3 linked regions of the Stegostoma tigrinum genome follow. Each later gene encodes a partner of the first gene's protein in a complex. Links are inferred from orthologs where the notes say so. Each region holds a gene or a part of one and is shown in the gene's direction. Other genes may lie near its edges. The genes, in order: arl1, arfaptin-2-like and golga4.

The links.
Region 2: the proteins of arl1 (region 1) and arfaptin-2-like are in contact, whole or in part, in a crystal structure (PDB 4DCN), measured with the Homo sapiens proteins. The link is inferred for Stegostoma tigrinum from reciprocal best matches to the Homo sapiens genes ARL1 and ARFIP2. Residues at the interface, in NP_001168.1 of Homo sapiens: Glu17, Arg19, Gln38, Ile46, Ile49, Gly50, Phe51, Asn52, Val53, Glu54, Thr55, Gln64, Trp66, Ile74, Tyr77, Cys80, Tyr81; in NP_001363487.1 of Homo sapiens: Phe205, Thr212, Lys216, Thr217, Asp220, Asp278, Ile281, Lys282, Phe285, Leu286, Glu288, Asn289, Lys292.
Region 3: the proteins of arl1 (region 1) and golga4 are in contact, whole or in part, in a crystal structure (PDB 1UPT), measured with the Homo sapiens proteins. The link is inferred for Stegostoma tigrinum from reciprocal best matches to the Homo sapiens genes ARL1 and GOLGA4. Residues at the interface, in NP_001168.1 of Homo sapiens: Ile49, Gly50, Phe51, Gln64, Trp66, Ser73, Ile74, Pro76, Tyr77, Cys80, Tyr81, Ser83, Glu115; in NP_002069.2 of Homo sapiens: Thr2173, Glu2174, Glu2176, Tyr2177, Lys2180, Val2181, Glu2184, Glu2190, Thr2193, Lys2196, Val2197, Thr2200, Val2201.

The regions. Positions count from the first base shown.
Region 1 is NC_081371.1:59,384,800-59,392,541, reverse strand, and holds the start of arl1 (ADP-ribosylation factor-like protein 1), read left to right. Parts: upstream 1-4,443; 5' UTR 4,444-4,659; coding exon 4,660-4,663; intron 4,664-7,742. UniProt on the Homo sapiens protein: GTP-binding protein that recruits several effectors, such as golgins, arfaptins and Arf-GEFs to the trans-Golgi network, and modulates their functions at the Golgi complex.
Region 2 is NC_081359.1:113,858,581-113,866,393, forward strand, and holds the start of arfaptin-2-like, read left to right. Parts: upstream 1-4,541; 5' UTR 4,542-4,629; intron 4,630-4,969; exon of another isoform or gene 4,970-5,374; intron 5,375-7,813. Other genes in the region: timm10b (mitochondrial import inner membrane translocase subunit Tim10 B), read right to left, coding at 1,639-1,908, 3,329-3,424, 4,464-4,484. UniProt on the Homo sapiens protein: Plays a role in constitutive metalloproteinase (MMP) secretion from the trans Golgi network. May have important functions during vesicle biogenesis at certain cargo subdomains, which could be predominantly utilized by secreted MMPs, such as MMP7 and MMP2.
Region 3 is NC_081358.1:6,280,091-6,288,435, reverse strand, and holds the start of golga4 (golgin subfamily A member 4), read left to right. Parts: upstream 1-4,869; 5' UTR 4,870-4,993; coding exon 4,994-5,059; intron 5,060-8,345. UniProt on the Homo sapiens protein: Involved in vesicular trafficking at the Golgi apparatus level. May play a role in delivery of transport vesicles containing GPI-linked proteins from the trans-Golgi network through its interaction with MACF1. Involved in endosome-to-Golgi trafficking.

The DNA.
Region 1 (7,742 bases):
TGGACAGACAGGTGCATGAATCCCCAGAGTTAACGTTTCAGGTCCGGTGACCCTTCCTCAAGTCTGTGGAAGGGACACCGGACCCGAAACATTAACTCTGTTTTCTCCTCCACAGAACGGCCAGACCTGCAGAGCTTTTCCAGCAAATTTGTTTTTGTTCCTGATTTACAGCATCCGCAGTTCTTTTGGTTCTTATAACTCCCCAGAGCTGGGTAAGATGCAAGGGAGGAAACTTCTGGGGTCATGGTGGAGATACTTAATACTTTGTTGGGGACCGGTAAAGTGTCAGGTGACTAGAGGACAGCTGATATGGGTCCTTGTTCAGGCAAGGAGTTGGGATAGGCTGGTAATTACAGAGCAGTTAGTCTGACATCACTTGACAGGAAATTTTCCTGGTTCATAGAATCTCTACAGTGTGGAAACAGGCCCTTCAGCCCAACAAGTCCACACCAACCCTCAGAGCATCCCACCCAGACCCATCCCACTAATCTACACATCCCTGGACACTACAGGCAATTTAGCATGGCCAACTCACCTAGCCAGCCTGCACATCTGCAGGAGGAAACCCACACAGACACGGGGAGAATGTGCAAACTCCACACAGACAGTCGCCCAAACCTGGGATCAAACCCAGGTCCCTGGTTCTGTGATGCAACAGCGCCAACAAGTGAACCACCATGCTGCCTGTTTTTTTTCTGAGAATTGAAACAAGTTGCCAATTTGGGTTGGAAAAGGTTGGAAAATATGCTGAAGGACAGGATTAATCTATACTTAGAAACCATGAGGTGGAGGTGCCAGTCTTGGACTGGGGTGGACAAAGTCAGAAGTCACACAACAAAAGGTTATAGGTCAACAGATTCATTTAAAATCACAAGCTTTCGAAGCGCTGCTCCTTCATCAGGTGAATGTGCAACGCTCTGAAAACTTGTGACTTCAAATAAACCGGTTGAACTATAACCTAAGATAATAAAATGTGAGGCTGGATGAACACAGCAGGCCAAGCAGCATCTCAGGAGCACAAAAGCTGACGTTTCGGGCCTGGACCCTTCATCAGAGAGGGGGATGGGGGGAGGGAACTGGAATAAATAGGGAGAGAGGGGGAGGCGGACCGAAGATGGAGAGCAAAGAAGATAGGTGGAGAGGGTGTAGGTGGGGAGGTAGGGAGGGGATAGGTCAGTCCAGGGAAGACGGACAGGTCAAGGAGGTGGGATGAGGTTAGTAGGTAGCTGGGGGTGCGGCTGGGGGTGGGAGGAAGGGATGGGTGAGAGGAAGAACCGGTTAGGGAGGCAGAGACAGGTTGGACTGGTTTTGGGATGCAGTGGGTGGGGGGGAAGAGCTGGGCTGGTTGTGTGGTGCAGTGGGGGGAGGGGATGAACTGGGCTGGTTTAGGGATGCAGTGGGGGAAGGGGAGATTTTGAAACTGGTGAAGTCCACATTGATACCATATGGCTGCAGGGTTCCCAGGCGGAATATGAGTTGCTGTTCCTGCAACCTTCGGGTGGCATCATTGTGGCAGTGCAGGAGGCCCATGATGGACATGTCATCAAGAGAATGGGAGGGGGAGTGGAAATGGTTTGCGACTGGGAGGTGCAGTTGTTTGTTGCGAACTGAGCGGAGGTGTTCTGCAAAGCGGTCCCCAAGCCTCCGCTTGGTTTCCCCAATGTAGAGAAAGCCGCACCGGGTACAGTGGATGCAGTATACCACATTGGCAGATGTGCAGGTGAACCTCTGCTTAATGTGGAATGTCATCTTGGGGCCTGGGATGGGGGTGAGGGAGGAGGTGTGGGGACAAGTGTAGCATTTCCTGCGGTTGCAGGGGAAGGTGCCGGGTGTGGTGGGGTTGGAGGGCAGTGTGGAGCGAACAAGGGAGTCACGGAGAGAGTGGTCTCTCCGGAAAGCAGACAGGGGTGGGGATGGAAAAATGTCTTGGGTGGTGGGGTCGGATTGTAAATGGCGGAAGTGTCGGAGGATTCCGCATGGAGATGGCCTCAAGGCCCTCCGCTTCTTCCTGTCCCGCAGGCCCGACCAGGCCCCCTCCACCGACACTCTCATCCGCCTAGCGGAACTCGTCCTCACACTCAACAACTTCTCTTTTGACTCCTCCCACTTCCTACAGACTAAGGGGGTGGCCATGGGCACCCGCATGGGCCCCAGCTATGCCTGCCTCTTTGTAGGTTACGTGGAACAGTCCATCTTCCGCACCTACACAGGCCCCAAACCCCACCTCTTCCTCCGGTACATTGATGACTGTATCGGCGCCGCCTCTTGCTCCCCAGAGGAGCTCGAACAGTTCATCCACTTCACCAACACCTTCCACCCCAACCTTCAGTTCACCTGGGCCATCTCCAGCACATCCCTCACCTTCCTGGACCTCTCAGTCTCCATCTCAGGCAACCAGCTTGTAACTGATGTCCATTTCAAGCCCACCGACTCCCACAGCTACCTAGAATACACCTCCTCCCACCCACCCTCCTGCAAAAACTCCATCCCCTATTCCCAATTCCTCCGCCTCCGCCGCATCTGCTCCCACGATAAGACATTCCACTCCCGCACATCCCAGATGTCCAAGTTCTTTAAGGACCGCAACTTCCCCCCCACGGTGATTGAGAACGCCCTTGACCGCGTCTCCCGCATTTCCCGCGACACATCCCTCACACCCCGCCCCCGCCACAACCGCCCCAAGAGGATCCCCCTCGTTCTCACACACCACCCTACCAACCTCCGGATACAACGCATTATCCTCCGACACTTCCGCCATTTACAATCCGACCCCACCACCCAAGACATTTTTCCATCCCCACCCCTGTCTGCTTTCCGGAGAGACCACTCTCTCCGTGACTCCCTTGTTCGCTCCACACTGCCCTCCAACCCCACCACACCCGGCACCTTCCCCTGCAACCGCAGGAAATGCTACACTTGTCCCCACACCTCCTCCCTCACCCCCATCCCAGGCCCCAAGATGACATTCCACATTAAGCAGAGGTTCACCTGCACATCTGCCAATGTGGTATACTGCATCCACTGTACCCGGTGCGGCTTTCTCTACATTGGGGAAACCAAGCGGAGGCTTGGGGACCGCTTTGCAGAACACCTCCGCTCAGTTCGCAACAAACAACTGCACCTCCCAGTCGCAAACCATTTCCACTCCCCCTCCCATTCTCTTGATGACATGTCCATCATGGGCCTCCTGCACTGCCACAATGATGCCACCCGAAGGTTGCAGGAACAGCAACTCATATTCCGCCTGGGAACCCTGCAGCCATATGGTATCAATGTGGACTTCACCAGTTTCAAAATCTCCCCTTCCCCCACTGCATCCCTAAACCAGCCCAGTTCATCCCCTCCCCCCACTGCACCACACAACCAGCCCAGCTCTTTCCCCCCCACCCACTGCATCCCAAAACCAGTCCAACCTGTCTCTGCCTCCCTAACCGGTTCTTCCTCTCACCCATCCCTTCCTCCCACCCCCAGCCGCACCCCCAGCTACCTACTAACCTCATCCCACCTCCTTGACCTGTCCGTCTTCCCTGGACTGACCTATCCCCTCCCTACCTCCCCACCTACACCCTCTCCACCTATCTTCTTTGCTCTCCATCTTCGGTCCGCCTCCCCCTCTCTCCCTATTTATTCCAGTTCCCTCCCCCCATCCCCCTCTCTGATGAAGGGTCTAGGCCCGAAACGTCAGCTTTTGTGCTCCTGAGATGCTGCTTGGCCTGCTGTGTTCATCCAGCCTCACATTTTATTATCTTGGAATCTCCAGCATCTGCAGTTCCCATTATCTCTGAACTATAACCTGGTGTTGTGTGACTCAGTACTTGGAAAAGCAGGGATTGATCAGAGATGGTCAACACTGAGTTGTCAAAGCGAGACCCTATCTGACTTGTTTAATTGAATTTTATTTTTTTAAATGGCTATGTATATTGATGAGGATCGTGGAATTGATGTGGTTTATGTGGAATTTGGATAAGGCCTTTGAGACGGTCCCACATGGAAGACTGGTCCAAAGGGTAAGATCCCATGGGATCCAAGGCAGGTCGGCAAAGTGGATCCAAAATTGGGCTTTCAAATAGGAGGCAAAGAGTGATGGTGGGGGAATGTTTTTTGTGGCTGGATGCCTGTGATCAGCGGTGTACCACAGGGATCAGTGATGGGACCCTTGCTGTTATGTACAGTGACAACTTGTGTGTGAATATATAAGAATTAATTAGTAAGATTGCAGGTATAAGTAATAACTAATCTTTGCATTTGTAAATAAAATAAGGCGGACTAAATTATTTCTTCCAACACCTGCTTCTAATTAATCCACAGGTACCTGGAACTGGAGCAACGCCACTGACTTTCTGCTTGTTCGGCCGCTGGCGGTGAAGCAGCGCCCTCTCCGTCTGGAGGACGGCATCGCGCGGGTCGCGTGGCACGCAGCCGCGGCGAATCGGCCGATGACGGTTGAATCTTGATGAAGAGCTGATTTTTCGCCAGTGTCGGGCACGAGGTAAATGGCTGGTATTTAAGCGGAGTCCGGGGGGTGGAAAAGGTTGCTTATTTTTCGCGGATTCCGAGGCGCGAATCTGCGGCGTCAGGAAACGGGCATTAGGCCTCAGGCTCTACCGGGGAGTGCGCGCGCAGCCTGGGGACGACGGCCACGTCGGAGCAAACAGCGAGATGGGTTAGTGAGAGATTTATTTAAATTATATAAAATGTACAGGGATGGGTATAAATATACAATGAATCGGTGAAGTGAGAAACGTGTCGGTGAGTGGTAGCTGTATAAAATATACGGTGTTTCCAGGGGTATACCTGATATACAGGGGGTAGGGAGGGAAATGTCAGTGAGAAACTTGTATAAAATATACAGTGGGATTTTATGTATCGAGGGGAAATGTGTCAGTGAGAAACTTGTATAAAATATACAGTGGGATTTTATATATCGAGGGGAAATGTGTCAGTGAGAAACTTGTATAAAATATACAGTGGGATTTTATATATCGAGGGGAAATGTGTCAGTGAGAAACTTGTATAAAATATACAGTGGGATTTTATATATCGAGGGGAAATGTGTCAGTGAGAAACTTGTATAAAATATACAGTGGGATTTTATATATCGAGGGGAAATGTGTCAGTGAGAAACTTGTATAAAATATACAGTGGGATTTTATATATCGAGGGGAAATGTGTCAGTGAGAAACTTGTATAAAATATACAGTGGGATTTTATATATCGAGGGGAAATGTGTCAGTGAGAAACTTGTATAAAATATACAGTGGGATTTTATATATCGAGGGGAAATGTGTCAGTGAGAAACTTGTATAAAATATACAGTGGGATTTTATATATCGAGGGGAAATGTGTCAGTGAGAAACTTGTATAAAATATACAGTGGGATTTTATGTATCGAGGGGAAATGTGTCAGTGAGAAACTTGTATAAAATATACAGTGGGATTTTATGTATCGAGGGGAAATGTGTCAGTGAGAAACTTGTATAAAATATACAGTGGGATTTTATGTATCGAGGGGAAATGTGTCAGTGAGAAACTTGTATAAAATATACAGTGGGATTTTATATATCGAGGGGAAATGTGTCAGTGAGAAACCTGTATAAAATATACAGTGGGATTTTATATATCGAGGGGAAATGTGTCAGTGAGAAACTTGTATAAAATATACAGTGGGATTTTATGTATCGAGGGGAAATGTGTCAGTGAGAAACTTGTATAAAATATACAGTGGGATTTTATATATCGAGGGGAAATGTGTCAGTGAGAAACTTGTATAAAATATACAGTGGGATTTTATATATCGAGGGGAAATGTGTCAGTGAGAAACCTGTATAAAATATACAGTGGGATTTTATATATCGAGGGGAAATGTGTCAGTGAGAAACCTGTATAAAATATACAGTGGGATTTTATATATCGAGGGGAAATGTGTCAGTGAGAAACTTGTATAAAATATACAGTGGGATTTTATATATCGAGGGGAAATGTGTCAGTGAGAAACTTGTATAAAATATACAGTGGGATTTTATATATCGAGGGGAAATGTGTCAGTGAGAAACTTGTATAAAATATTCTCCATCTACAGTATGTATTGGGGGGTTGTTTGTTCAGGCTGGAGGCCTGGGAGCAGTGCTCTGTCACAAGGTTTGGTGCTGGGGCCACTGTTGTCCCAAATCTTTTTACATAAATACATTGGGTGAGAAGGTAGGGACCATGGTTGGTATGTTCATGGAAGACATCAGAGTTGGTACCATAGAGTTGTACGGCAAGGAATCAGACCCATTGGCCCAACTAGTCCATTAGTCTAGACCCACTTGCTAGATGTGATAATGGGAACTGCAGGTGCTAGAGAATCCAAGATAACAAGGTGTAGAGCTGGATGAACACAGCAGGCCAAGCAGCATCTCAGGAGCACAAAAGCTGATGTTTCGGGCCTAGACCCTTCTGCCTTCTTCATCCTGTCTGCTTGTGACTCCACCTTCAAGGAACTATGCCCTTGTGCGGTCTCTTTGGCACTACTCTTCATGACCTCACCATTAAATGTATAAGCAACAGTATTTAACAAGCAAAAACAAAGTTGCTGGAAAAGCTCAGTAGGCCTGGCAGTATCTGTGGAGGAGGAAAAAAGTTAATGTTTTGCATCTGGTGACCCTTCCTCAGAACTCTTACAGCATCTGCAGTTCTTTTGGTTCTTTATTTAGTATTTAAGAAGTACCTGGATGCGCACATAATCAGGAAGGGAATGGGGGATATGGATCCTGTAAGTGAAGACTCTTCTAGTATGGAAGAGTAAAATGTGTTGGTGCAGGCTTAGTGGGCTGAAGGGCCTATTCCTGTGCTGTATTGTTCTTTGTTCTAAATCCTGCCCTGATTTGCCTTGCCAAAATGCAACACCTCTTATTTATCTAAATAAAACTCTTATCTGCTGCTCATGAGCCCAATTGATCAAGGACTTGTCATACTCTGATATAACCACTTTTGCTGCCCACTATACCACTAATGTTAGTGTCATATGCAAACTTACTAACAATATCTCCTACGTTCACCTTGAAATCATTCATATAAATGATAAAAAGCAGTGGACCCAGCACCAGTTCATGTGGCATACTGCTGGTGACAGGCCTCCAGTCTGAAACCCCCCACCACCCCAATCCTCTGCCTCTTACCTTACAACCAATTTTGTATCCAGTTTTAAAAAACAAAAGAACTGTGGATGTTGTATATCGGGACCAAAAACTAAAGTTGCTGGAAAAGCTCAGCAGGTCTGGCAGGATCTGAACAGAAAATCAGAGTTAAGGTTTTGGGCTCAGTGTTTTGAGGAAGGACATCAGACCTGAAACATTAACTCTGATTTTCTCTTTGCAGATGCTGCAAAACCTGAGCTTTTCTAGCAACTTCTAGTTTTGTTCTTGTATCCAGTTTATACTGTTAATGGTAGGGCCCTGGGGAGTATTATGGAATAGAGATACCTGGGGCCCAGGTACAGTTTCTTGAAAAATCATGTTGCAAGTTGAAAGAGTGATGAAAGTGTTTGGTATGCCTGTTTTTTTTTATTGGTCAAAACTTTGAGTACAGGAGTTGGGATGCCATGTTCAAGATGTTAACTGCACATTGAGTACTGCATGCAGTTCTGGTCACCCTGCCATAGAAAGGATATTGTCAAACTGGAAAGGGTGCTAACAATTTTTTTTACAAGGCTGTTACTGAGATTGCAAGTTTTTATTTCATGGGGAAGGGCAGGATAGGCT
Region 2 (7,813 bases), on another chromosome or scaffold:
TAAACGATCTCCTCCTCCGTCAAGACAGATATCATGCAAACTTGTGTACAATTGACACAACTACCTGATACCATAGTGCTAAAATTTTATCATTAAAGAAAATTAAACCTTTAAAAATCTGTGTCTAAAAAGAGTCTACTGTAAAACAGTACTTTGGATTCCATCACCACCTCAAACGGTGCCACTGTGGATGCTCGATAAAGAGGCTATTTTTGCCACTCACCAATCTCGGTCATTATTGCACATGATCTCACACCATAAACACACTGGGAACACAAGAATGTTCAAACAATGTCTACTATTAGTGAAATATAGCAAGGTGGCTCAGTGGTTAGCACCGCTGCCTCTCAGTGTCGGGGAGCTGGGTTCAATTCCACCCTCGGGTGACTGTGTGTGCAGTTTGCACATCCTCCCTGTGTCTGTGTGAGTTTCCTCCCATGATCTAAAGACATGCAGGGTAGGTGAACTCGCCATGCTAAATTGCCCAGGGAAGTTTAGGTTAGGTGAGTTAGGCATGGGAAATATAAGGGTAAGGGAATGGGGTTAAAATTGTTTCAGAGACAGTAGGAACTGCTGATACTGGAGAATCTGAGATAACAAGGTGTAGAGCTGGATGAACACAGCAGGCCAAGCAACATCAGAGGAGCAGGAAAGCTTGCTGTTTTGGGCCTAGATCCTTCTTCAGAAATTTCTATGAAGAGTTCTACAAATAAGGGTCTAGGCCTGAAATGTCAGCTTTCCTGCTCCTATGATGCTGCTTGACCTGCTGCATTCATCCAGCTCTACGCCTTGTTATCTCTGGTAAGGGAATGGGTCTGGGTGGGATGTTCTTTGGAGTGGCGTTGTGGTCTTGTTGGGCTGAATAGCCTGTTCCCACACTGTAGGGATTCTATGATGCTTCTATGAAAGACTGGTGTGGCGTCTCTGTATGGATTATTCCCACAGTGACGCACTCACTATGTCTGCAATTTTACCTCTTAGTTCTGGGCAGCTCATCACTCACAGAGGGACCATACTCTTAGTGGTAATGATATAATTCATGTGTTTGGGGCCTGGAGTAGACGACAGACTCCTGAACTGATAGTTCAGATGATAAAATATTCTGAAACATTACCCACAATTTCTTAAACAACATCTGTGAACTGAAATAAGTGCTGTCATTTGACAAGGGTCTCACCTGTAACTTAAATGTATATTAATTCACTGAAGAGCAAGGAAACATTTTCAATGAAACTAACTTTAATCAGTTCCATGCCTTGGCTGTCTTGAGCTCCTTTTTCGTTTAAGATGTTAACAGTTCAGCATTCAGGAGTTGAGTTTTCACTTTCACAATGTGAAACGCTCTGGCTATTCTGGTCAGTATGACCTTTGGTTTCCAGTCTTGTCACTGTCTAATAGTTGCGGTCAGTCCAGTTTGGCCCATTCCAGACCACACTCCAGCTTCTGTCAACACAAATTCAACTACCTGTTTAAAATGCCAGGTGATGTAGATATTGAGCTGGGTCTGTTGATTTTCTGTTACACATCAGCTCCCAACTGATGCCGTTTGATTCGCTGGAAGTTGGAAGGAATCACTCAATCTGTGCACGCAAGGGTAAGTGAAAGAATTAGTGCCAGGGTGACACTGGGAGCAAGAAACTAACTCTGGTCAGGAGAGCCAGTGTTAGTCTGATTCAGTGGGTCAGGGATAACAGAATTTTCCAAGTCCCCTGGTACAATTTCAGCAATGTTACTTTGGCCCTCTGATGCAGGCAGATTCACATTTGATTTCTGCACAACCTCTGCAGCTTTTGCCTCATAGTCAGAGATTCTTCTTTGAACAATGGTTGGCATGAGCCGGACGTAGGAACTCATTAACCGATGGTTGGTGTGGATCAATTTACCAGCACAATTGTTGATGCAATTCTCCTAGAAAGAGAGGAAACATATTAAAGCACATTCCGTTCCAGAGCATACCATCAACAAACTGTGTCATATCGTACAGACACCTAATAGGCCGCACTGTCAAAGGGTCATGAGTAATTTGTCAATATCTCTGCAATTTCCACTTTCCCTTCCATATCCTTGGCATACATTGTTTTTTAATTCTCTTATGAGGTGTGGGTGTCATTAGCTGGGCCCAGGATTTATTGCCCACCCATATTTGCTCCTCGAGATGGTTACGGTGTGCTGCCTTCTTGAACTGCTGCAATCCATGTGATGTAGCTAGACCCAAAAAGCCCTAAAGGAAGGAATTACAGGATCTGACCCAGCAACACTAAAGGAACGGCAATATATTTCCAAGTCAGGATGGTGAGTGTCTTGGAGAGGAACTTGCAGGGTATGGTGTTCCCATGTATCTGTTGCCCTTAATAAAAATGAAAAGAACTGCGGATGCCACAAATTAGGAACAAAAACAAAGTAGCTGGAAAAAGGTCCTTCTGTATGGAAGTGGTCATGGGTTTGGAAAGTGCTGTCTGAGCAACGCTGGCAAATTTTTGCCATGCATCTCAACTGGTCTGGTGACTTCTCACTGCCAACAGTGTCTTGAATACCAGCTCCTTATTAACCTTAAACCCTTTCAGTGACTGAGATTTTGTCTCTGTCACCATGTACTGAGCAGCACCTGCCCCTTAAGTAAAGATAGCTGCAAAGTATTTATCTAACACCGAGCTACATCTCTTGGTTCTAACTGTAATAGCCCATTTTCATCTCTGGTTAATCAAAGGGTGAAAGATTACTGGGGATGGAGTAATGATATGAGCCAAGAAGGAGGGTCAAAATGATCCCTTGTTCCTGATTTGTGTGATGAGGTTCAAAGAGTCAGAGAGGTCTCAGCACAGAAAAAGGCTCTTCAGTCCATCAAGTATGCACCAGTCAAAAACTGTCACCTAATTATTCTAATCTAGGATTTGGCCCATTCTCTTGCCTGTCCTGGCATCAGAAGTGCACATCTAAATACTTCTTCAATGTTAAAGCGGCTTCTGCCCTTTCCATCCTGACAGACTGAGTTCCAGATTCCCATCAACCTCTATGTGATATTTTTCCTCAAATAACCTTTAAACTTTATGGCTCTTCCCTTAAATCTACACATCTGCTCATTGATCCCTCCAAAGGGAAAATTTCTTCCTGTCTACCGTATCTACGACTCTGATTATTGTATGCATGTCAACCACATCCACTCTCAATCTACTCTGTTCTGTTCTAAGAAAAATAACCCCAGTCTTTCCAACCTCTTTTCGTACAACTCTCTAGTCTAGGCAACATCCTGGTAAAATTATGTTTAAACCCTTTCCAGGGCTATCACATGCCTCCAATGATGTGTGCAGCTGGTCATCCTTGGATTTACCTCAGTCAATGTGATGCTCCTGTAGTTGAGGTTGGCCACACACTTGTTGAAGCAGGTTTCTGTCATTTTGTTATAGACCAACAGGAAGTCCCGCAGCTGAAACAAAGAGAGAGCGAGCGAGCTGGAGATTAAGATCACAGAGGAGCAGAAACAAACCCATACACCTACCCCTCCATATATGCCATTGACCTCCTTCCCGTGAAAACACAGATGCTAACACAGCCATTGCTGTCCGTAAATTTCCACGTGAGTGTATGATGTTGGGAGTGGGGGATAGGAATGAACGGATGTATTACTGAGGGGGTTTGTGCAGGACATAGACTCTGGGGGTGAGGGGGATTCTTAGTGAAGAGGGCAGCCACATGAGATTGGGGCAAGTGAGCTGGGGAGGGGTTAGAACACAGAACATAGAACATGACAGCACAGTAGAGGCCCTTCGGTCCTCGATGTTGTGCCGACCTGTCATACCGATCTCAAGCCCATCTAACTACACTATTCCATGTACGTCCATATGCTTATCCAATGATGACTTAAATGTACCTAAAGTTGGCGAATCTACTACCGTTGCAGGCAAAGCGTTCCATTCCCTTACTACTCTCTGAGTAAAGAAACTACCTCTGACATCTGTCCTATATCTTTCACCCCTCAATTTAAAGCTATGCCCCCTCGTGCTCGCCGTCACCATCCTAGGAAAAAGGCTCTCCCTATCCACCCTATCGAACCCTCTGATTATTTTATATGTTTCAATTAAGTCACCTCTCAACCTTCTTCTGTCTAATGAAAACAGCCTCAAGTCCCTCAGCCTTTCCTCGTAAGACCTTCCCTCCATACCAGGCAACATCCTAGTAAATCTCCTCTGCACCCTCTCCAAAGCTCCATATCCTTCTTATAATACGGTGACCAGAACTGTACGCAATACTCCAAGTGCGGCCGCACCAGAGTTTTGTACAGCTGCAGCATAACCTCTTGGTTTGTGGGGGAAATTGGAGGGGGTGGGGGGGTGAGGGAGGGGTGGGGGTGGGGGGGGTGAGGGAGGGGTGGGGGTGGGGGGGGTGAGGGAGGGGTGGGGGTGAGGGAGGGGTGGGGGTGAGGGAGGGGTGGGGGTGGGGGGGGGTGGGGGTGGTGAGGGCCTCACGTTGCGAATCTCCGGCTCCATTCTGTCTCGACGACCTTTCCCAAATCGCTTCCGGTGAGCCGCCCAGTTGTGTCGTCACTTCCTGGCGGTGGCCCGCCCTGGCTCCGGGTCCCTAGAAACCGGCTCAGGCCCCTCCCCGCCGAGAGACACCCGAGCGGCAGCCCCGGTAAGAGAACGGGGCGGGGGGAAACAAGAGGTCCATCCCATCCCCCCACCCTAACCCGTCTCCCTCTCCCTCCTTCCCCCTCCTCCCCGACGCCCCCACTCTCCTCCCCCCTCTCCCCCCCCCCCCATTAGTATTTGTGTGTCGCTATGATTTGTGAACTGCTGGGGAAGGTGTCTGTTTGACCAGGGAGTGCCCATCATACTCAGGACGGGTTGCTATTCTCAGTTGGTCAGTGTCACCCAACTGCCCACGTTGTCTTACCCACTGCTAGTGCAGTCCACCCCCTTGACCTGCTCCCATGGTATGAACCTGCCCTCTGTATATTTCTCCACCTCCTGCTGTGGTTTGCACTGATGTAGTTGCTGATCGTAGCGTGTATTTGGAGACTAATTCTCGCCCTGACCTTGTTGACATCACTCGATGTGTCTCACCTGCATACATGAACGAAAATTGTAGACTCTTCAAACATCAAACTGCGACACAACAAGCTGAGTACTGCTTGGATCACAATGTGTAACAGAGTACTCCCTCTGTGACATGCACACATCCTACAGCCTGTATTCAGTGCTACCACCACCGCCTCCCTCCTTGTCTCTGTAACCTCCTCAGGCCCCTGACACGTACCTTGTCCCTCCTCCTGTCACCCCATTTGTGGCTATTCCTTTAGCCTCTTCAACCCCACACATCAGTCCACGTAACAGGAATGCAGTTTGCCAACATCAGAATTCCTCATTGTTTATTCACGGTAAGGGTCACTAACTGTTGCAGTTCAGAGTCACTATTTATTCAGACTAGTAGCAGGAAACTATAAAGTGCTGTGTTAAACATGGTAACAAACAGGAGCAGGCCCTTTAAGCCTGCTGCATCATTCATTGTGATCATTGCTGATCATCCACTCGAGTCTGTGCGTGTTTTTACCGATCATTGTTTGATTCCTTTAAACTCGGGTACTATCTACAATTCCCTCTTTTAATCATTGTGTTTTTATTGACTGCTTTCGGTGGCAATGAATTCCACAGGCTCTCTACTCTCTGGGTGAAGAAATTTCTCATCTCGGTCCTAAATGACTTATAATGACTTAGACTGTGTCTCTTGGTCCTGGATTCCACACTTGTCATCCTTCGTGCATCCACCCTGTCTGGTCCTCTTTGAATTTTAAAGGTTTCAGTGAGATATTCCCCACCCCACTGCATCATCCTTCTGAAATCCAGGGAATAAAATCCAAACAGATGCAATCTTTCCTCCTACAACAAGGTTAGGTCACTTGGGATCCCTGGAGAGCTAGCGAATTGAATTCAAAATTGGCTTGATAGTAGGAAGCAGAGGGTGATGGTTGAGGGTGATTTCTCAGATTGGAGGCCGTGACTAGTGGTGTGCCACAGGGTTCAGTGCTGGGACCTTTTGTTATTTGTTATTTACATAAATTATCTGGATGTGAATGTACGAGGCATGATCAGTAAGTTTGCAGATGATACAAAATTAGGAGGTATCGTTGATAATGAGGAAGGTTATCAAAAATTACAGAGGGATCTTGATCAGATGGGGAAGTGGACTGAAGATTGGTAATTGCAATTCAATACGGATAAGTATGAGGTGTTGCACTTTGGAAAATCAAATCATGGTAGAACTTATGCAGTAAATGGTAAGGTCCTGAGGAGTGTTGTGGATCAGAGGGACCTAGGAGTACGAGTACATAGTTCACTGAAAGCCGTGTCACAGGGTAGATATTTGCATGCTGGCCTTCATTGGTCGAGGCATTGAGTATAGGAATTGGGACCAAAAACAAGTTGCTGGAAAAGCTCAGCAGGTCTGGCAGCATCTGTGAAGGTAAAAAGAGTTAACGTTTCGGTTCTGGTGACCTTTCCTCAGAACTGAGAAAGTTACTTAGTTCTGAGAAAGGGTTACCAGATCTGAAATGTGAACTTTTTTTTCCCCATCGCAGATGCTGCCAGACCTGCTGAGCTTTTCCAGCAACTTTGTTTGTTCCTGATTTACAGCACCTGCAGTTCATTTGGTTTTTACATAAGAATTGGGACGATCTGTTACAATTGTACAAGTTGTTGAGGCTGCACGTGTAGTATAGTTTTCAGTTTTAATTACCCTGTTATAGCAAAGACATAGTTAAACTGGAAATTGTGCAAAGAGGATTTATGAGAATGTTGCCAGGACTAGGAGGCCTGAGTTATTGGGAGAGATTGACCAGGATAGGAATTTATTCCTTGCAACATGGGAGAATGAGGGATGATCTCATTGAGGTGTATAGGGCATATATAGAATGAATACATTTAGTCTTTTTCCCAGGAATAGTGGGTTGAAAACTAGAGGATGTAGGTTTAAGGTGAGAGGGGAAAGATTTAAGAATGACTTGAGGGGCAACTTCTTCACGTAGAGGGTGCTGCATATATGGAATGGGCTTCCCGAAAAAGTGGTTGAGGCGGGTATAATGGCAACATCTAAAAACTTCTAGATGAGAAGGGTTTAGAGGGATATGGACGAAATGTAGGCAATTGGAACAAGCTGAATGGGCACCATGGTCAGCATGGACCAGTTTATGCTGAACGGCCTGTATTATTCTATGACTCTATAACTATCCCAGGAATTAATCTGATAAAGCTTTGCTTCATTCCCTCTGTAGCAAGAACATCCGTCCTCAGAGAAGGAGACCAAAACTGCACATAATACTCCAAGAGTGGCCTCACCAAGACCCTGTATTACTGCAGCAGGACATCCCTGCTCCTGTACTTGAATCCTCTTGTTATGAAGGCCAATATCCCATTTGCCTTCTTCACCTCCTGCTGCAACTGCATGCTTATCTACAGTATATCATGACACCCAGGTCTTGTTGAACATTCCCCTCTCTCAATTTCTTGCCATTTAGATAATGGTACGCCTTCCAAGTTTTTGCTTCCAAGTGGATAACCTCACATCTTTCCAAATTATGTTTCGACAACCATGCATTTGCTTACTCACTCAACTTGTCCAAGTCACACTGCTGCATTTCTGCATCCACCCACCCATCTTTGTGTCATCTAGTACCCCATTGTCACTGTGTACTACTCAGAAAAAGACCCATTTATCCCTACTCACTGTTTCCTGTCTGCTGTCATCGGTGGGGAGAAAAACAGAATTCATGCATCAAGTCCGGTATGGTGATTCTTCAGAACTGCACGGGTTGGACAAGTTT
Region 3 (8,345 bases), on another chromosome or scaffold:
CGATGGAAAGGGATGGGAACATGCCACAGGGCAAGAGTTATAGACGGGGGAAGGGCAATTATAATGCGATTAGGCAAGACTTAGGAGGCATAGAATGGGTTAGCAAAATGCAGGGGATGGGAACAAATGAAGTGTGGAGCTGATTTAAGGAACTGATATTGTGTGTCCTTGATAGGTATGTCCCTGTCAGGCAGGGAGGAAGCGATAAGGTAAGGGAACTGTGGTTTCCTAAAGAAATTGTATCTCTTGTTAAGCGGAAAAGGGAGGCTTATGTGACGATGAGACGAGATGGGTCAGATGAGGTGATGGACAATTACAGATTAGCTAGAAAGGATTTAAAGAGAGAGTTAAGAAGAGCAAGGAGGGGACATGAGCAGACATTAGCAGGTAGAATAAAGGAGAACCCTAAAGCTTTCTATAGGTATGTAAGGAATAAGAGGATGACTAGCGTTGGAATAGAGCCAGTCAAAGACAGAAGTGGGAAGTTGTGTGTGGACCCTGTGGAGATCGGAGAGGTGCTAAACGAATATTTCTCATCTGTTTTCACTCAGGAAAAGGAGAATATTGTAGAGGGGAAGACTGAGATACGGGCTTTTAGACTTGAAAGGATTGTGGTTAGTAAGGAGGTGGTGTTATCAATTCTAGAAGGTATGAAGGTAGATAAACCACCTGGGCCAGATGGGATTTTTCCGAGGATGTCTGGGAAGCTAGGGAGGAGGTGGCGGAGCCTTTGGCCTTGATCTTTGAGTCCTCATTCTCTACAGGTTTAGTGCCAGAGGACTGGAAGATTGTAAATGTTGTGCCATTGTTCAAGAAGGGCAGTAGGGATGACCCAGGTAATTATAGACCTGTGAGCCTTACGTCTGTTGTAGGAAATGTTTTGGAAAGGATTATAAGAGATAGGATTTATAATCATCTAGCAAGCAACAATTTGATTGGAGATAGTCAGCATGGATTCGTCAAGGGCAGGTCATGTCTCACAACTCTCATTCAGTTTTTTGAGAAGGTGACCAAGCATGTGGATGTGGGTAGGGCAATTGACGTGGTGTACATGGACTTCAGTAAAGCCTTTGATAAGGTTCCACATGGTAGGCTATTGGAGAAAATGCGGAGGCACGGGATTGAGGGAGATTTAGCAGTTTTGATTAGAAACTGGCTTTCTGTAAGAAGGTAACGAGTGGTGGTTGATGGAAAATATTCAGCCTGGAGTCCGGTTACTAGTGGTGTGCCTCAAGGATCTGTTTTGGGACCACTGCTGTTTGTCATTTTTATAAATGACTTGGACACAGGCATAGGTGGATGGGTTTGTAAGTTTGCAGATGACACTAAAGTCGGTGGAGTGGTGGACAGTGTGGAAGAATGTTGCAGGTTGCAGGGAGACTTGGATACACTGCAGAACTGGGCTGAACGTTGGCAAATGGAGTTCAATGCAGACAAATGTGAGGTGATTGACTTTGGGAAGAATAATAGGAAGGCAGAATACTGGGTCAATGGAAAGATTCTTGGTAGTGTGGACGTGCAGAGGGATTTTGGTGTCCATGTACATAGATCCCTGAAAGTTGCCACCCAGATTGAGAGTGCTGTTAAGAAGGTTTATGGTGTGGTAGATTTTATTGGTAGAGGGATTGAGTTCCGGAGCTGTGATGTCATGCTGCAACTGTACAAAACGCTAGTACGGCCTCACTTGGAATACTGCGTGCAGTTCTGGTCGCCCCATTACAGGAAGGATGTGGAAGCGTTGGAAAAGGTGCAGAAGAGACTTACCAGGATGTTGCCTGGTCTGGAGCGAAGGCCTTATGAAGAAAGGCTGAGAGACTTGGGTCTGTTCTCATTGGAGAGAAGAAGGCTAAGAGGGGATTTAATAGAGACATTCAAGATGATCAGAGGATTAGATAGGGTGGACAGTGAGAGTGTCTTTCCGAGGATGATGACGTCAGCTTGTACGAGGGGACATAGCTACAAATTGAGGGGTGAGAGATTTAAGACAGATGTCAGAGGCAGGTTCTTTACTCAGGGAGTGGTAAGAGTGTGGAACACACTGCCTGTCAATGGAGTTAACTCAGCCACATTAGGGGCATTTAAACAGTCCTTGGATAAGCATATTGGATGATGATGGGATAGTGTCGGGGAATGGACTTAGATTAGTTCTCAGGCCGTCGCAACATCGAGGGCCGAAGGGCCTGTTTTGCACTGTATTGTTCTATGTTCTGTGATGTATGAATAGGAAAGGTTTGGAGGGATATAGGCCAATTGCTGGCAAGTGGGAGTAGTTTCGTTTGGGAACATGTACGCTTTGACCAAAGAGTTTGTTTCCATGCTTTACGACTCTATGACATGAGAAATGAAAATGATCTATTAAAAGAACATTTCAAAAAAAGGAAAAATATGTTATCTTGAGACTGTGAACAACGTAACGAAGATTGTATCAGAGAAAGGAGGAACTGCAGATGCTGGAGAATCCAAGATAACAAGGTGTAGAGCTGGATGAATACAGCAGGCCAAAGGAGCAGCCCCTATGATGCTGCTTGGCCTGCTGTGTTCATTCAGCTCTACACCTTGTTATCTCAATGCAATGAAGATGATAGCTTTTAGTTAGTTGCTCCAAGACAGTCCTGGGGAATTGGGAAGTCAACCCAAGACATCAGCTCCTCGGAGCCCTCGATGCAAGTCGACCCTTGCTGGTTCCCCACCTCCCCTCTAACCTGTGTGCAGAGGCTGCCACCGGTGGACCATCTCCTCCACAAAGTCCTGGGTGCAGACGTTCCCCTGCTGGTTCCTCCTTTCTAAAGAGTCATGGGTGCGGATACTGCCTCTGCTGCACCCTCTCCTCCAAAGAGTCCTGGATGCAGACAACAGCCTTGCTGAGCCTCCCTTGCATACTGTTCTTGGTGTAAACAGCGCACCTGCTTGTGGCTCTACGTACAGACAGAACCCCTGCTGAACCCTCCCCTCCAAGGAAGCCTAGGTTCAGACACTGCTGGACCCTCACCTCCCCAGAGCTCTGGATGCAGAAAACGTCCCAGCTGTACTCTCATTTCTCGAGCCTAAGAATGCATACAGCGCCCTTCCTGGACCCTCTCAGTGACAGAGACCCAAGTGCAATTAGCACCCAAGATAATGAAATGTGAGGCTGGATGAACACAGCAGGCCCAGCAGCATCTCAGGAGCACAAAAGCTGACGTTTCGGGCCTAGCCCCTTCATCAGAGAGGGGGATGGGGAGAGGGTTCTGGAATAAATAGGGAGAGAGGGAGAGGCGGACTGAAGATGGAGAGAAAAGAAGATAGGTGGAGAGGAGAGTATAGGTGGGGAGGTAGGGAGGGGATAGGTCAGTCCAGGGAAGACGGACAGGTCAAGGAGGTGGGATGAGGTTATTAGGTAGAAGATGGAGGTGCGGCTTGGGGTGGGAGGAAGGGATGGGTGAGAGGAAGAACAGGTTAGGGAGGCAGAGACAGGTTGGACTGGTTTTGGGATGCAGTGGGTGGAGGGGAAGAGCTGGGCTGGTTGTGTGGTGCAGTGGAGGGAGGGGACGAACTGGGCTGGTTTTGGGATGCGGTGGGGGAAGGGGAGATTTTGAAGCTGGTGAAGTCCACATTGATACCATTGGGCTGCAGGGTTCCCAAGCGGAATATGAGTTGCTGTTCCTGCAACCTTCGGGTGGCATCATTGAGGCACTGCAGGAGGTCCATGACGGATGTGTCATCTAAAGAATGGGAGGGGGAGTGGAAATGGTTTGCGACTGGGAGGTGCAGTTGTTTATTGCGAATCGAGCGGAGGTGTTCTGAAAAGTGCATCCCCAAGCGTCCGCTTGGTTTCTCCAATGCAGAGGAAGCCACACCGGGTACAATGGATGCAGTATACCACATTGGCAGATGTGCAGGTGAACCTCTGCTTAATGTGGAAAGTCATCTTGGGGCCTGGGATAGGGGTGAGGGAGGAGGTGTTGGGGCAAGTGTAGCATTTCCTGCGGTTGCAGGGGAAGGTGCCGGGTGTGGTGGGGTTGGAGGGCAGTGTGGAGCGAACAAGGGAGTCACGGAGAGAGTGGTCTCTCCGTAAAGCAGACAGGGGTGGGGATAGAAAAATGTCTTGGGTGGTGGGGTCAGATTGTAGATGGCGGAAGTGTCGGACGATGATGCGTTGTATCCGGAGGTTGGTGGGGTGGTGTGTGAGAACGAGGGGGATCCTCTTTGGGCGGTTGTGGCGGGGGCGGGGTGTGAGGGATGTGTTGCGGGAAATGCGGGAGACGTGGTCAAGGGCGTTCTCGACCACTGTGGGGGGGAAATTGCGGTCCTTGAAGAACTTGGACATCTGGGATGTGTGGGAGTGGAATTCCTCATCGTGGGAGCAGATGCGGCAGAGGCGGAAGAATTGGGAATAGGGGATGGAATTTTTGCAGGAGGGTGGGTGGGAGGAGGTGTATTCTAGGTAGCTGTGGGAGTCGGTGGGCTTGAAATGGACATCAGTCACAAGCTGGTTGCCTGAGATGGAGACTGAGAGATCCAGGAAGGTGAGGGATGTGCTGGACATGGCCCAGGTGAACTGAAGGTTGGGGTGGAAGGTGTTGGTGAAGTGGTCTAGGCCCGAAACGTCAGCTTTTGTGCTGCTGAGATGCTGCTGGGCCTGCTGTGTTCATCCAGCCTCACATTTCATTATCTTGGATTCTCCAGCATCTGCAGTTCCCATTATCACTGATGCAATTAGCACCCTGCTGCGATCTCACCTCTCAGAGCTCTGGATGCAAACAGCGCTTTCCTGCAAGTCTCTCTCCCCTAAAGCGCCCTGGGTGCAAGCAGCGCCCCCGGCTGGTCTTTGATGCGTGTGACACGCGCCTTTGGCTGCCGGGGCCACGTTGCCGGCACATGCGCTGTGCGGCAATCCGGATCGTGAGGCCTGAAGTCCGGGAGCCGGGGCCTGGCGGGGACCGTGGAGGCTGTCGGCGACCCACGCAATTTCTGTCCCCACCCTGGTTCTCGGGCTATCCCGGCGGCTGGCACGATGTTCAAGAAACTCAAGCAGAAGCTTAACGAAGAGCAGTTCCCGGTCAGGAGCGGCGTAGTTCAGGTGAGAGAGGGCGGAGGGCACTGTCGGCCAGGCCCGTCCCGTCCCGGCCCGGCCGGGGAGAGGCGTTCCTGAAGCTCCGGGAGGGGGTGTTGGGATGATCCAGACTCCCTCCAGACCCCACTCTGAACATCAGTGAGTAAGGGCGGGTTGGGGAATGAGCCACTGTCCCCTCCCTAACAGCTGTCATAGGGCCCCAGGCTAACTCTCGGAGCAGAGGCTGAGTACCAGGTAGTTCAGAATTGTCCTGTCAGTTGACCCTCATTTCCCGGAGATCACGCAGACGAAACCCCGACCTCTTTGACCTCTGGTACCTTCAGCTGGACGAGACCCCGGCAGAGCGACAGTGGTTCGCGCAAGTTTTCGAAAGCTCTGCTTCTTCATTGTACGTGGCTGTGTGGGATTTTTGAAGTTCAGTGGTTTTTCCAACTTCGCAGTGGTTCATTTCGACTCTGGTCAGGATAAACAATTATTGTAATTGATTTACGAGAGTGTTTTGGAAGGAAACCTTTTATCACGATGAAATCAGAATTACCCATCTTGGTTGTGTTGTGAGGTGAGGTGACTTCATTGGTGATATTGATATTTCTGTAAGAGAGAGATGTGGAAAACTGTGTCAGCGTTTCTTTCCGGATTTTCAATCTTGGGATGCCAGTTGTGTAAACGATTTACTCGCCCATATTTGAATCACAGTCTTAGTTTTCTTTTCCTAAATCAACTGTTACGGGTATGTTATGATACTCATCTGGAGGAGTTGAGACTTGAACCCAGGTTTTCTGAGCCAGCGGTAGGAACACTGCCATTGCATTGCAAAACCCAAAAAAGTGTTTTCAGGATAACGAAGTGTGTAGCTGGATGAACACAGCAGGCCAAGCAGCATCTCAGGAGCCCAACAGCTGACGTTTTGATCTTTTCCAAACAACCTGCTCACAAGATTTTATTTTACGCCAGTGTAGTAGGTGAAACTTGAAGCTGGGTCTCTAGCTCAGGGTAGGTACGTTAGCCTGCATCGCAGGCACCCTCATTGAATCACAGTCTTTGCTATCCTGCAGCTGATGTTCGATTTGCTCCTTCTCCCAATGACTGAAGGTACTCAGTAGTTAAGTATATTTACAACTTGAGATGATTGGCCTTTGGACCCACAGTGAATTAAAATATGAGGATAGAGCAGCAGAGTACAAGTGAGGTCAATATATAAGTCAAGTTTTCTTAAAACGCAAGAAGCTTCGTGGATATGTCTCCTCTTGTTTTTTGATCAATGGAGAGCATCAATGTTGTGGAGTTAACACCCTCATCACAAAGAGGAATGGTACACATTTAACATTTCTCAACATTTCTGTAATTGGTCAACATATTGCTTTCATAATCGTGGGGGAATCAATGCCACCTTTTTGACAGTTTCAATAGAATTGAGCATTTACTGAACAAAGCAAGAAAACTCATTTATGATTTTGTCGTGAATTGAACTTCGTTAGTTATTGAAGGTTTGTTTTGTAGGATAAGCTGCTACTTGGATTCTTGAAGTGACAAAATGTTTTTGTGTTTCACAGTGGTTGATTACAACCCGTGCCTGACAAACCAACAGCTGGCTAATCGGCTAATGATGCTGGTTTAGTGTCATGTCTGACTTGAAACTTATAAATTTGAGCTGTTGATTTGGTATTATTATCTCTATACATTGGGTTGTTGATGTAATGCTTTGAATCTATTTGTAAAGAAGTTGCCCAAATGTCAGAAACAAGCTAATTAAAGCGAAGCTTTGGCCACATTCACTGAAAGATAATTTTATTATGCACAGTTGTGTAATTGTGGATTCTGAATTTTGTCCTCTTGGGTATGATGTTTGAAAATAGTGAAATTTGAAACATGGTTCAAATAAATGATTTATTACAACCAGCTTCACTAAGAACGCAGAAGCTGGTAAATTCCCAGGGACAATTCGCGCCAGTACTGGTTCAATTAAAAATTGAAACTAAATGAGGAAGTAAATATTTAACAAACCCCCTCAACTGGTTCTCTGTCATATCTTTGAAGGGATGTGCAACTAAATTGTTTTACTTACACGAAGGGCCTACATATGGGTTTAACAAATGACACAGCAGTTTTATTTGTTTGCATTTTCATGTTCCCATATATTTGCCCACTCTCCTCAGTATTAAAAGATTCTAATGCCTAAAATTTATGTACAGTGCTCAGCTCAATTTAATTGTGAATCTAAAATTCATATCAGTAAAATTTGTATAAAATTGTCACTCAATATTTTTGAGAGCGTGAATAAAATAAATATAAAGCTTCAGCCAAGTGCATAGATCAAGGCAAAGAGAGAACTTGCCAGGGGTAAATGAGTTGAGTGCAGAAACCAATCAATATTAACCGCAACATAAAACTGCTAAAGAGCATTCCAGTGCCTGTACACTGGGTGTAAAAAAGGAATGCAGGAATACAACATATTTCAGGAAGGATGTACTGGCCTTGGAGTGGGTTCAGAGGAGGTTCATGAGAATGGTCCAAGGAATGGAAAGCTTAACATATGACGAACATTTGAGAACTCTGGGACTATACTCATTGGAGTTTGGAAGGATGAGGGGGGATCTAATTGAAACTTTCAGAATACTGAGTTATGTGGACAGTGTGGATGTTGGGAAGATGCTTCCATTGGTAGGAGAGACTAGTACCTGAGGCCACAGCCTTGAGGAAAGGCAAGACCTTTTAGAATGGAGATAAGGAGAAACTTCTTCAGCCAGAGTGTGATGAATCTATGAAATTCACTGCCACAGAAGGCTGTGGAGGCCAGGTCATTGAGTACATTTAGAACTGAGTTTGATAGGTTCTTGATTATCAAGGCGATCAAAGGTTACAGGGAGAAAGAGGTTGAGGAACTTATCAGCCACGATTGAATGGTGGAACAGTCTCGATGGACTGAACAGCCTAATTTTTGCTCCTATGTCTTATGGTCTTTAAAAGTAATTGGCTGATCTGGCCACTAGAATTATGGAATTATTGTGAGTTGGAATCCAAATTTGGGATATTCACTGAGCTATTAGCAATTTGGCAAAGTGTACTGAGTCTTCAAGTCTCAGGATGACTCTTGTTCAAAACTTAGATTGAATAAGACCCAAGGTTACTATTTCCCACACGTTGATAATCGTTCGGCCAGACGTGTCCAAGCTAAAGATTGCTGGTAACTTGCAAGGAAAACCTATCATGGTGAATTTGAAAATTCACATAAACTTTACATTTTGGATAATTTTCTTCAAGCTCTTTAGAACCAGGCAGACAAGAAGCTATC